Linked DNA regions of Macaca mulatta. The main gene of each other region encodes a partner of the protein of the gene in region 3 in a complex. Links are inferred from orthologs where the notes say so. Each region holds a gene or a part of one and is shown on either strand. Other genes may lie near its edges.

Region 1 (2,319 bases), on a different chromosome or scaffold from region 3:
AAGAGGGGGCAGGCCAGGTGTGGCCAACAGGCCACAGTTTGCCAAACCTTGCCCTAGGAGCATGAACTCCAGTGGGTTCTCCAGGGTGCAAGGCAAAGATCCCATCTGCCAATCATGTCTGAACTCCACTTCGGAAGCTTGGGCAAGTACTGTGGGGCTCTGGAAGGCAGAAGTGTGCAAATCATGGCTTTTCATGTGGCCCTAAGCATCTAACTGCTAAGCCCTGCTTCCTGATGTTCTTCACAACAGAAATCCAGCATCAGAAATCAGACACTGGCTGGCTGCTTTAGCGCTGCGTTGGCACCAGGTGCGTTGCATGCCAGGCTCTAGAAATAACCCCTCCTATTTTTAACACCCTTGCTTCATCAGAAGGTTTCTAGTTTCTCCCGAAAACAATCTCAGGGCCTAGAGAAACCCTGTCTGAGTTGGAATTCAGAGCCTCTAAGCCACGTGTGTTGCCCTCTTGTCCCCACAAAAGTCCTCAACGTACCCGGGTGACCTGCCTTCCCTTCTCATTCCGCGTCAGGGGGCCCCTGATGTGACCAGGAATCTGAGCAATTTCTATGCAAGGTGTGAAGAAAACGTGAGTTTTCTGAGAGCTTTTTATTTCAAGCCACAGACAGATTCTACTCAGTTAAAAATGCTTCCCAGGGCTCCTGGAAGCCAAGGAGGGGACGCTGCGCTCACCAGAGAGGGTGTGTTTTATCACTGAGAAAGGGAGGGGCTGGCTATTTACACAGAACACCAAGAACTGGCAAACACAGGTTGTCCCTGCAATGTTCATAAAGGACAACCGGAGGCAGCTTATCAGAGGCTGGTACAGTGGGGACACCTCTGAGCTCCAGGGGAAGTGGGGCCCTTGCAAACACCTGTCCACCTGCTGGCCCTGCCTTTCCCAACTGTGGCCAGATTGAGACTGACATCCTCTTGCTCTATTCCCAGGGGAGCCTGCGGCAGCCCAGAGGAGCTCAGAGAGAGGAAGCAGCCTGCGACTGTGGCAGGGGGCAGATGGGAGCAGGGTGGAGCTAAAATTGCTCCCGCCTCCCCTCTGGAAGGTTCCGGGCTGAGACATGGCTTCCTGGAGAAGAAGCCTGAGGGTCGCTAGGGCCACAGGAGGGCTAGTGCTCAGGCTCAGCATCCATGCAGGACTCCCATGGGTTCCGGGGCATTCGAGGCAGGGAGAACAGCAGGAGGGCGAGACCACTGAGGAAGAGGAGGACGAAGGCAGCACAGGCGCAGGCGAAGGACCAGGAGTAATAGTACTCGATCCAGACGGTGTCCTCACTGTCAATCATGCGCTTCACCGACTGCCGCATGACCTCTACCGAGACCAGGATGCAGAGACCTGGGGGCGGAGCCAGGTACGCTCAGGGACCGACGGGTGCCTGCCGTTACCCCCAGCCCCACCCCAGCCTGTGTGCATGGAGGAGGCAGTGACCTTGCCTTGGGGGAAAAGCTGCCTCAAGGCAGGTTCTAGCTGGGAGCCTGCAGAAGGATCCATTTGTCCACGCACCACCCTATTCCTGCATCCCTTAGAAGGACGACCACATGGCCGGGTACGGTGGCTCATGCCTGTAATCCCAGCACTTTGGGAGGCTGAGGCAGGAGGATCGCTTGAGGCCAGGAGTTTGAGACTAGCCTGGGCAACATAGTGATGAGCCCTCTGTCTCTACAAAAAATTAAAATGTAATAAAAACTTAGCCAGGTGTGGTGGTGCACGTCTGTAGTCCCAGGTACTCAGGAGGCTGAGGCGGGAGGAACCCTTCAACTCAGGAGTTCGAGGCTGCAGTGAGCTGTGATCGTTCCACTGCACTCCAGCCTGGGCGACAGAGCGAGACCCTCTTCCTCATCCCCCAAGAAAAAGAAAGAAAGGCGACCACGTTTCTTTCCTTCTTCTGTTAATCATTCTCTGGGCAGTTTCTTTGGGGCCTTGAGGGTTGAATCATGGGGAGGAATGGACAGACCGCCAAGCTCTGTCTCCCTCCAGCCCACCTGGGGTCGCTGAGGGCTTGGCCAGGTTTGCCCCTGGATGGGGATGGAGCCTGGGAAATGCCCCCTACCCAAATCCCACGGTGGGCATGAGAGTGGAGCGGAGAATCCCCCACGACATGGTCCCCCCAGTCCGGTGCTCGGGCGGAGCCCCCAGTCTACCTGCAAAAGCGTAGAACATGGACGCGGGCCGCAGCAGGTAGTCCCTCTTCTTCCCAAAGGACAGGAGGACACAGAGGCTGCCCAGGATGACGAAGCCAAGGCTGAAGATGGCGATGGCGGCTGCCGAGATGCTGTACTCTGCAAACACAAGGGACACCCGGCATGCGG
Region 2 (3,749 bases), on a different chromosome or scaffold from region 3:
TGTTGTACCTGCCTCACACTGAGCTGGGTGGGCAGCACCCAACCGCACTGTCTTCCATCTCCTCCACCCACACAGTCTGGAGACAGGAGCTTCTTTGGGCCAGGCTGAGGTGTGGGATGGAAGAAGGCTAGCAGGGGTCCTGAGTTCTCTCTCTGCCCACCTCTGCCCTGCTGAATACCCCCAACCTGACCCACAGCCCAGTCTGTGTTAGTGCAGAATCCTTCACGAGTGTGATGTATACGGGAGGGGTGGAGGGCCAGGGCTCCAGCTGGCCTGGCACAGAGGGGCCCGATCAGAGGTGTAACCCCTCCTCTCCCCTGGTCCTTGGATCTCCAAGCTCAGACCCAGAGGTGACAACATTGGAGGGTCCTGACCTGGGAAGACGGAGAGGTGCCGATCTGCAGGCCTTGACCGCCCCTCCCCACACAGCTGAGCAGGCGGCTTCCTGGAGTACTGAGGCAGCACCACCCCGCACTCCTGCCCACCTTCCAGAGCTCCCACAGAGGGGGCTGGAGAGGACAGGCCTCCGTGTGGGAAACAGAGCAGGGCCTGGGAAGGCCCCCAGTGCCCTGGAGGCAAGCAGGGGGACTGTGTATGTCTTCCCAGGGTGACTAGAGGGCAACCGAGGTCAGGGGTATTGGACTTAGGTGAGGTTCAGCTCCCAGACCCTCTGCTTGACAGAAGTTGTCACAAATATTCCAAGCAATATCCTCCCACCCAAACATCTTAGTCCTTTCCCAGGAGAGACTGAGACTCGGCTCTCTAAAGGGGAGACAGCTGTGGCCTGACAGACCAAAGTCTCATTTTTAGAAGGGGGCAAGAGAGGGTCAGGTGTGCATGTGAAGACTTGAACATGGAGACCCGCTGGGTCCCCTGGTGTAGGATGGGGGCTCCCTGGGGTGCCTCTGCCAGAGTCCACCCTGACCCTACGGCCTCCTCCTCCCGATCACTCCCTTGATGACCTTGACCTTGAATTAACCTCAGCTCCTGCGGGATGGTCAAGATGGAAGAAGGAGGAAGGGGGACAGTGGGAAGAAGCCCAGAGAGCGAGCCATGCCTCCAGAGCCCAGGCTCCCATCATTTCTGGTCCTCACTGTCCCCTTTCGCCTCTGGAGAACGGGAGCAGGATGGGAACAAAATACCGGGGAAAGGGGGAGGGAAGAGGTCTTGGCCTGAAGTCTGGGAGGGGGCAGGGCGCGCCCTTGGCACAGCCCTTTCTGCCCCATCCCCAGACCCGCTCAGGTTACTCCCGCAGAAACAGAACTTCTCGCGGGCCAGTCGCCAGCACCTAGAACTTGGGAAGGGAGCAGACGGATTAGAGGTGGGGGGAGTGCTGAGTGTGAGCGGCGGCCTCCCCCCCCACCACTACTTTCAGCGCCAGGAGTCTGGGCTCCGCCCGCCTTCGCGGGGAGTAATTTATTCACGGTGACTCCCGCAGGAGTAACAATCATCCATAATTAGGGTTAATGATGACATTCATTAATTACAATTACTTCTGTTTCTGCTTCTACCCGCTCCCCCTCCCCTGGTCCCGCTCCCGTGGTGGGGAGTGGGGCTGCCTGTCTTTCTGGTCCGGAGCCACAACCGCAGGCCCCCGTCCCCGCCGGTGACCGACGGCTGGCGCTGCCGCAGGCCCCCGCGCGGACTCCGCAGCTGCGCACCCCCGGCCGCGGCCTCGCTTCCCCGAGCCCAACCGGGCTAGGAGCGGGGAATGCAGGACTGCGGAGGGGCAGGGAGGGACACGCTGAGACGCGGAGATAAACACCAGGAGGCGCCGGGAGAGACGGGGAAAGACGCACACAGAGACACCAAGACACAGACACGCAGGTTGTAGAGACAAATTCAGAGACACCAGCGAGGACAGAGGCGCGGACTGAGCCCGGGACTGGGACCCGGCGGCCGATGGAGGGTGCGCCTCGCACGCACAGCCGGGCGCGAACCCCGCCCGCACCGCTCCACGCGCGCCCTCCGGCCTCGCTGCGCCCATCTCTCCAACGAAGACCAGTGGCCGCCTCCCCGGAAGGTCGCGATGGCGCGCGCGGGCGTGCGGTGCTGGTGTGATTGGGGGGTCTTCGTGGCCCTTCGTCGCCAACCCACTCCTCCCCCCGGGAGCGGCGCAGAGCCTCAGTGGTCACGCCGGCCTCACCGCGACCCTCGGACGCCCGGGCCCACAGGAGGACCCCGCCAGGAAGAGGGCGCCCGGGTCCGGGGCGCACGGGGCGGGGACAGGCCTCGCGCCCCCCAAGTTACCTTGGTTTCCTGGAGGGCGGAGACGGTCCCTGGGGGACTGTGAGTGGCCGCGTCATCCGGTTCGTTCTCCTTCTCGCTCATCTCGGTCATGGTTCGGGGAGAGGGGAGGAGAGGGTGCCGAGATCCGACGGCAGGCCCGCCGCGGGCAGGCTGCGGGTGGCGGGCGTTTCCGGGACTCCGAAGCCCTTCTCCAGAGGCTGCCCCCAGTTAGCCTCGGGCACCGCAGCCCCCAACCCGCGGGCTCAGGCGGAGAAAGTTGCCGGGGTGGCGGGCGAGGCGAGGCGACCACGCCGAGCCGCAGGAGCGGGACGACCCCGGGCGCGAGGACCGAGGGTCTGCAGAGGATGCTGCTCGCAGCGCGGGGAGGAGGGAAGTGGGGTGGCGGGGATGAGCCGAGGGAGGGAGCCAAGGAGCTGTCGGTGTCCGGCCGGTTCCGCCGTCCTCTGCGCCCGCCCCCCATCCCCTCCCCTCCCCCGCCGGACCCAGCCCGGCACCCGGCGGCCCCTCCGCCCAGTCCTCGCCGCCCAACTTTGATTTAGGAGGTCGCCTGGTCCCGCCCCCTGCCCTCCGCCGCTCCCCCGCGCCGCCCTGCAAATCAGGCTCTCAGCTATTGGCTGCCGCGGTGGCCAGGAGGGCGAGCTAGGCGGAGTCTTGGGGGGCTCGACACGATGGGGCGGGGCTTGGCGGGGAAAGAAGCGGAGGAGGGAGTTTCACACTGAAAAACCCGGGATGGAGGGGCGTGATCAGATTGAGGGAAGCTTGGGGAGATCATAGTAGAGTCTGGATGGGTTGCAGGGATTAGAAATAGGTTGGGGCCGCAGCAAGATAGCTGAGAGTGAGATCGAAGTTAGGACTTCCTGAGAGCGAAGATTGATAGATGCCAGAGGTTGGTGAAGAAAGAATGGGGACCCATCTGTGCCATTAATTAGATGCCTCTATATCCTGAAAAGGCTCTCTCCAAATATACACACCTGGACTATGGTGTATGTGTCAAAGGCCAGGCCGGACAATTCCTCCTTGTGATGGAAAGCAGGATGGCTGTATCTCCTTCCAGTCTTGGTGTCTGAACTTCAGCAGAGATGGGGTCTCAGTCCTCACACCCAAAGTCCCCAAACTTCTCTAAGACACGTTCCCCTCCTAAAGATCCTACCACAACTGGAGTTAGATCAGGGGATAATACGGAGAGGTGGGGGAAGAGGTCCTCACCCTCCAAGATGCCCCCCTCTCCACCTGCTCTGACAATAACCTTCTTCTTCTTCTTTTTTTTAATCTTTTATTTAGAGACAGGGTCTCACTCTTTTACCCAGGCTGGAGTGCAGTGGTGTAATCATAACTCACTGCAGTCTCAAACTCCTGGGCTCAAGCAATCCTCCCACCTCAGCCTCTTTAGTTGCTGGGACCACAGGCGTAAGCCACCATGCCTGGCTAATTTTTAAATTTTTTTGGTAGAGACAGAGTTACACAGGATGATCTCCAACTCCTGGGCTCAAGTGATCTCC
Region 3 (3,649 bases):
CATCAGGTATGTAAATCAACCTTCACGTGACTTTAAGCAGACACTACTGGTAAGGGACATCTGCTAAAAATCAAATAAAAACCAGTGACACCCTGCTGGCCTCCACCACCAAAGACACCGTTTTGATATATCCAGGCTTCCCCTACACAGACCTCAGATTTTAACAAGTAACTATTTTTAGCTTGGGCTGTTTATTTTGGCTGTTTAGATTTCTCGGCTCTGGCTGTGCTGGTGAGAAGTGCTGCTGTCAAACCATGGAGCCTTTTGGGATACTATTTCCCAGCAAAAACTGAGTGTGGATGGAAATACACAACACACACACAGAGACACACACACACACACACGCGCATTGGTTTTGCTCAGAGCCCACCCTGGCCCTCACTAGCTCAGCGCCCCCAGGGGATCTGAGCAGATGGGGTTGTCTGTCACTGTTCTGTGCATGGAGAGTGAACAGGATTCCCACCCTGGTCCTCCCCTAGCACATCAGACAGCTGGTGTGACAGCCAAGTCCCCACTCCCTGCCAGAGCTCAGCCTCAGCTGAGGGCTCCTTCCTCAGAGACTCCAGACTTTTCCTCAGCTGTTCCTCTCACCCACACCCCACCTCAGGCATCTCCAGTGCTCATCTTTCCACCCCATCCCCAACTCACCCTAAGGTTCACCCCACAGGCTGGCACAGCCAAAGGGCTTTCCGTTGAGCAGTGGGCAGTTCAGAAGAAAGCCCTATGCATGGCTGAGCCCCTAGCTTTAGGGCCAGTCCCCTGCTGGGATCCCTCATGGCCAGGCCAGCCAGCTTTCTGACATCCCACCCTGGCTCAGAAAGAAGAATGCTCATCTTTTCTCTCTTCCCCTGTGTCCCTCCTAGGATGCCACTTGGGCAACTGTTTTTTGATTTTGGCCTCTGACTCTCGGATAGTCTCCGCCCTCCATCGTTGCAGCAACCTGCAGCTGCAGACCCACGGCAAGGCAGCCTCTGGAGGGTTCCGCTTCTAAGACCTTGAATGTGGACCTCTCCAGCTGGAACTGCCTCCCTGCTCCTTTCATCCCCCTCACAAGGCAGGTCCTGCTGCTGTTTCTCATTCCACCGCCAAGGCCTCATCCCCTTGGTCCAGATCCTGGGAGCCTTCCTATCAGCTCAACCTTCAAAATAGATCCAGACATGGATCCCTTCTCACGGCCTCCACAGCCAGCCCCGGCCCCCATCGCCTCTCACCTGGATCACTGTGGGAACCGCCTGACTGCTCTCACTGGCTCAGCCCTCGTGTCCCCTGCAGTTTAGCTTGTTCACAACACAGCAGCCACAGTGATTGTTTTAGAACTAAAGTCTGTTCTCACTTAAACCCTCCAAAGGGCTCTCGTCTCCCTCAGAATAAAATCCAAGATGGTAACCGTGGCCTTCAAGGGCCTAGATGATTTGGCCCCTGCCTTCTCTCTCCTACCTCATCTCCACCACTCTCTCACCTCATCTCCACCACTCCGTCCTCCAGCTACAAGGGCCTGCTGCTCTTCCTCCAACTCAGCAAGTACCATCCTGCTGCAGGGCCTTTGCACTGGCCTCCTGTTCTGCCAGCACTCTGGCCCCCGTTCTGGCATGGCTCATGCCCTTGCTTTCTTCAGGTCTCTGCTACAGTGTCATATGGACACCACCCTCCCATGCTCTTCCACTCTAAGCCCCTATTTCCCTTTATGTTTCTGTATAATACTATGTATTTGTCATACCTGTCGTATTAGGGATTGATTTATTTATTGCCAGTTTGTTCCACAATTTTGTTCACTGCTGTATCTCAGCAGCAAGAACCTAGCCTGGCACACGGGAGGTGCCCAGTACATATTTGAGAAATAAATGAGTGAGTCTTCTAACCGGGTCTCTTAATTTTAGTCATTCTGACTTCCTGTCGCTCACCTCCAGGCTAGCTTTTTAGAAGCAGAGCTCTAAGGGCTCAGCGTGGTGGCTCACACCTGTAATCCCAGCACTTTGGGAGGCTGAGGCAGGTGGAGCACTTGAGCCCAGGAATTGGAGAGCAGCCTGGGCAACATGGTGAGACCCCATCTGCATATTCCAAAAACATATTTTTAAAAAAGAAGTAGGACTCTAATCCTCCCACTGCCCTGTTTAAAAACCTTTAGTGACTTTCCACTGCCTGCTCCATAAAGCTGAAGCCCCCTCTCACCGCTTAGCTCTCCAGCCTCGCCCTCTCCGTTCTCGTGTCTGCATGTTCTTATGCTTCCGATAAATTGGACCACTCAGCATGCCCTGAACCTTCTTTGCATTTCCTGCTCTGTGCCTCTCCTACAATAGCCCTGCCTGAGGTGCTTGTTCTCCTCTCCAACTCCAGTCACCACCTCCCTTTCCTTCAGGCAGATGGCACCACCTCCATGAAGCCTTCTCTGACCACCCCACTCAGAGATGACTTTCCTTTCCATTACAGCTCTTGCCTTTGATAGTGTAGTAGGTACACCCATGGTGTCTCCCTGGTATCTGAGTTATCTCTTCGCCCAGCAGGATGATAGTCCCTTGAGGGGAGAAGCCACGACTTGTCATTCCATCTTTTTAATCCCTGGGGTTCCATGTTGCACACACAGTGGGCAACCCACAAATATCTGTGGACTGAACACATGCTCTTGGACCCACGCTAGTGATGGCTCTGCCTGCCTGATACTCACGTCGATCTCGCTGAGGATGACATCAATGATGCTGCCAATGACAATCAGGAAGTCAAACACATTCCAGGGGTCTCCAAAGTAACCCTGGGAGGGAAAAGGATGGAAGAGTGAGGGGGTGAGCTTTGGGAGAAAGGATCTCTGGCTGCTAGCAGAGGACAGTGTCCCACTCGAGTTAATGTGGAGCTGCGGGTCAGGTCAAGGTGGGGTGCTCTGACTCCACCTCCCTACTGGTGCTCCAGTGGGCTCCCCCACTCCAACCCTCCTCTTCCCTTTGCTCTTTATTTCCCCTCTTCCAGAGCAGAAAGTAGTGGGGGGGGAGGGGAGAATTGTTGAGATCTCAGGATTTGGGGTCCTGGTCCAGATAGAGATATCTTTCATCCCCTGAACCCCACTGAACATCCTGTCTGGGGCTTGACAGTGCAGAACTGACAGGGCTGTGCTGGGAACCATGGGAATGGCCTTGAGAATCAAAGAGACAAGGCAAGATTTTCCCCCAGCCCTGGGCCTGTTCTTCAGAAACTTCGGGGCAGGCGAGAATGTAAGAGAAGCTCAAAGGAAGAGGCACCCAGAGTCTTTCTGTCATCAGTCAATTCTGGCTGCATGAAGATTTGCCTGCCCTGTGTCTGAAGGTGGAAGTGGGCAAAGGAGCAAGTTGGGAGCAGAAGTGCTGGGCAAAGGGGCCCTGATAGGATGAGGGATGGGGTGGATGTTCCACTGGAAGGCCCCACCCCCCCAGCCCCAGCTTCTCAACTGGCCCTGCAGCCCCCACACTTACCCTGGCCTTGAAGGCCATGAGCTTAAGGATCATCTCCAGGGTGAAGATGATAGTGAAGGCCACATTGAGGATGTCTGAAATGTGGTTCATCTGCTCTGACTGGTTGTAGTGCTGTGGAGGGGACACAGGAACAGTGGGTCAGGGGGGCTGGGTTTGCCCACCCTGTAGATCGCATTCCCAGAGCCCCTGCCTCTTCCTGGGCAGGCCCCAAC

Evidence for each region.
Region 1: CACNA1S (region 3) and CACNG1 share a complex: the UniProt entries of both Homo sapiens proteins name them as parts of the calcium channel complex. The link is inferred for Macaca mulatta from reciprocal best matches to the Homo sapiens genes CACNA1S and CACNG1.
Region 2: the proteins of CACNA1S (region 3) and STAC2 are in contact, whole or in part, in a crystal structure (PDB 6B27), measured with the Homo sapiens proteins. The link is inferred for Macaca mulatta from reciprocal best matches to the Homo sapiens genes CACNA1S and STAC2. Residues at the interface, in NP_000060.2 of Homo sapiens: Glu749, Pro750, Glu751, Ile752, Pro753, Ser755, Pro756, Arg757, Pro758; in NP_945344.1 of Homo sapiens: Tyr301, Lys302, Phe303, Gln306, Glu307, Asp310, Asn326, Asp328, Trp329, Phe340, Pro342, Asn344, Phe345.

The regions. Positions count from the first base shown.
Region 1 is NC_133421.1:76,808,963-76,811,281, reverse strand, and holds the end of CACNG1 (voltage-dependent calcium channel gamma-1 subunit), read right to left. Parts: intron 2,290-2,319; coding exon 2,152-2,289; intron 1,346-2,151; coding exon 1,119-1,345; 3' UTR 589-1,118; downstream 1-588. UniProt on the Homo sapiens protein: Regulatory subunit of the voltage-gated calcium channel that gives rise to L-type calcium currents in skeletal muscle. Regulates channel inactivation kinetics.
Region 2 is NC_133421.1:63,554,656-63,558,404, forward strand, and holds the start of STAC2 (SH3 and cysteine-rich domain-containing protein 2), read right to left. Parts: upstream 2,626-3,749; 5' UTR 2,341-2,625; coding exon 2,251-2,340; intron 1-2,250. UniProt on the Homo sapiens protein: Plays a redundant role in promoting the expression of calcium channel CACNA1S at the cell membrane, and thereby contributes to increased channel activity. Slows down the inactivation rate of the calcium channel CACNA1C.
Region 3 is NC_133406.1:58,708,816-58,712,464, forward strand, and holds part of CACNA1S (voltage-dependent L-type calcium channel subunit alpha-1S), read right to left. Parts: intron 3,549-3,649; coding exon 3,438-3,548; intron 2,747-3,437; coding exon 2,663-2,746; intron 1-2,662. UniProt on the Homo sapiens protein: Pore-forming, alpha-1S subunit of the voltage-gated calcium channel that gives rise to L-type calcium currents in skeletal muscle.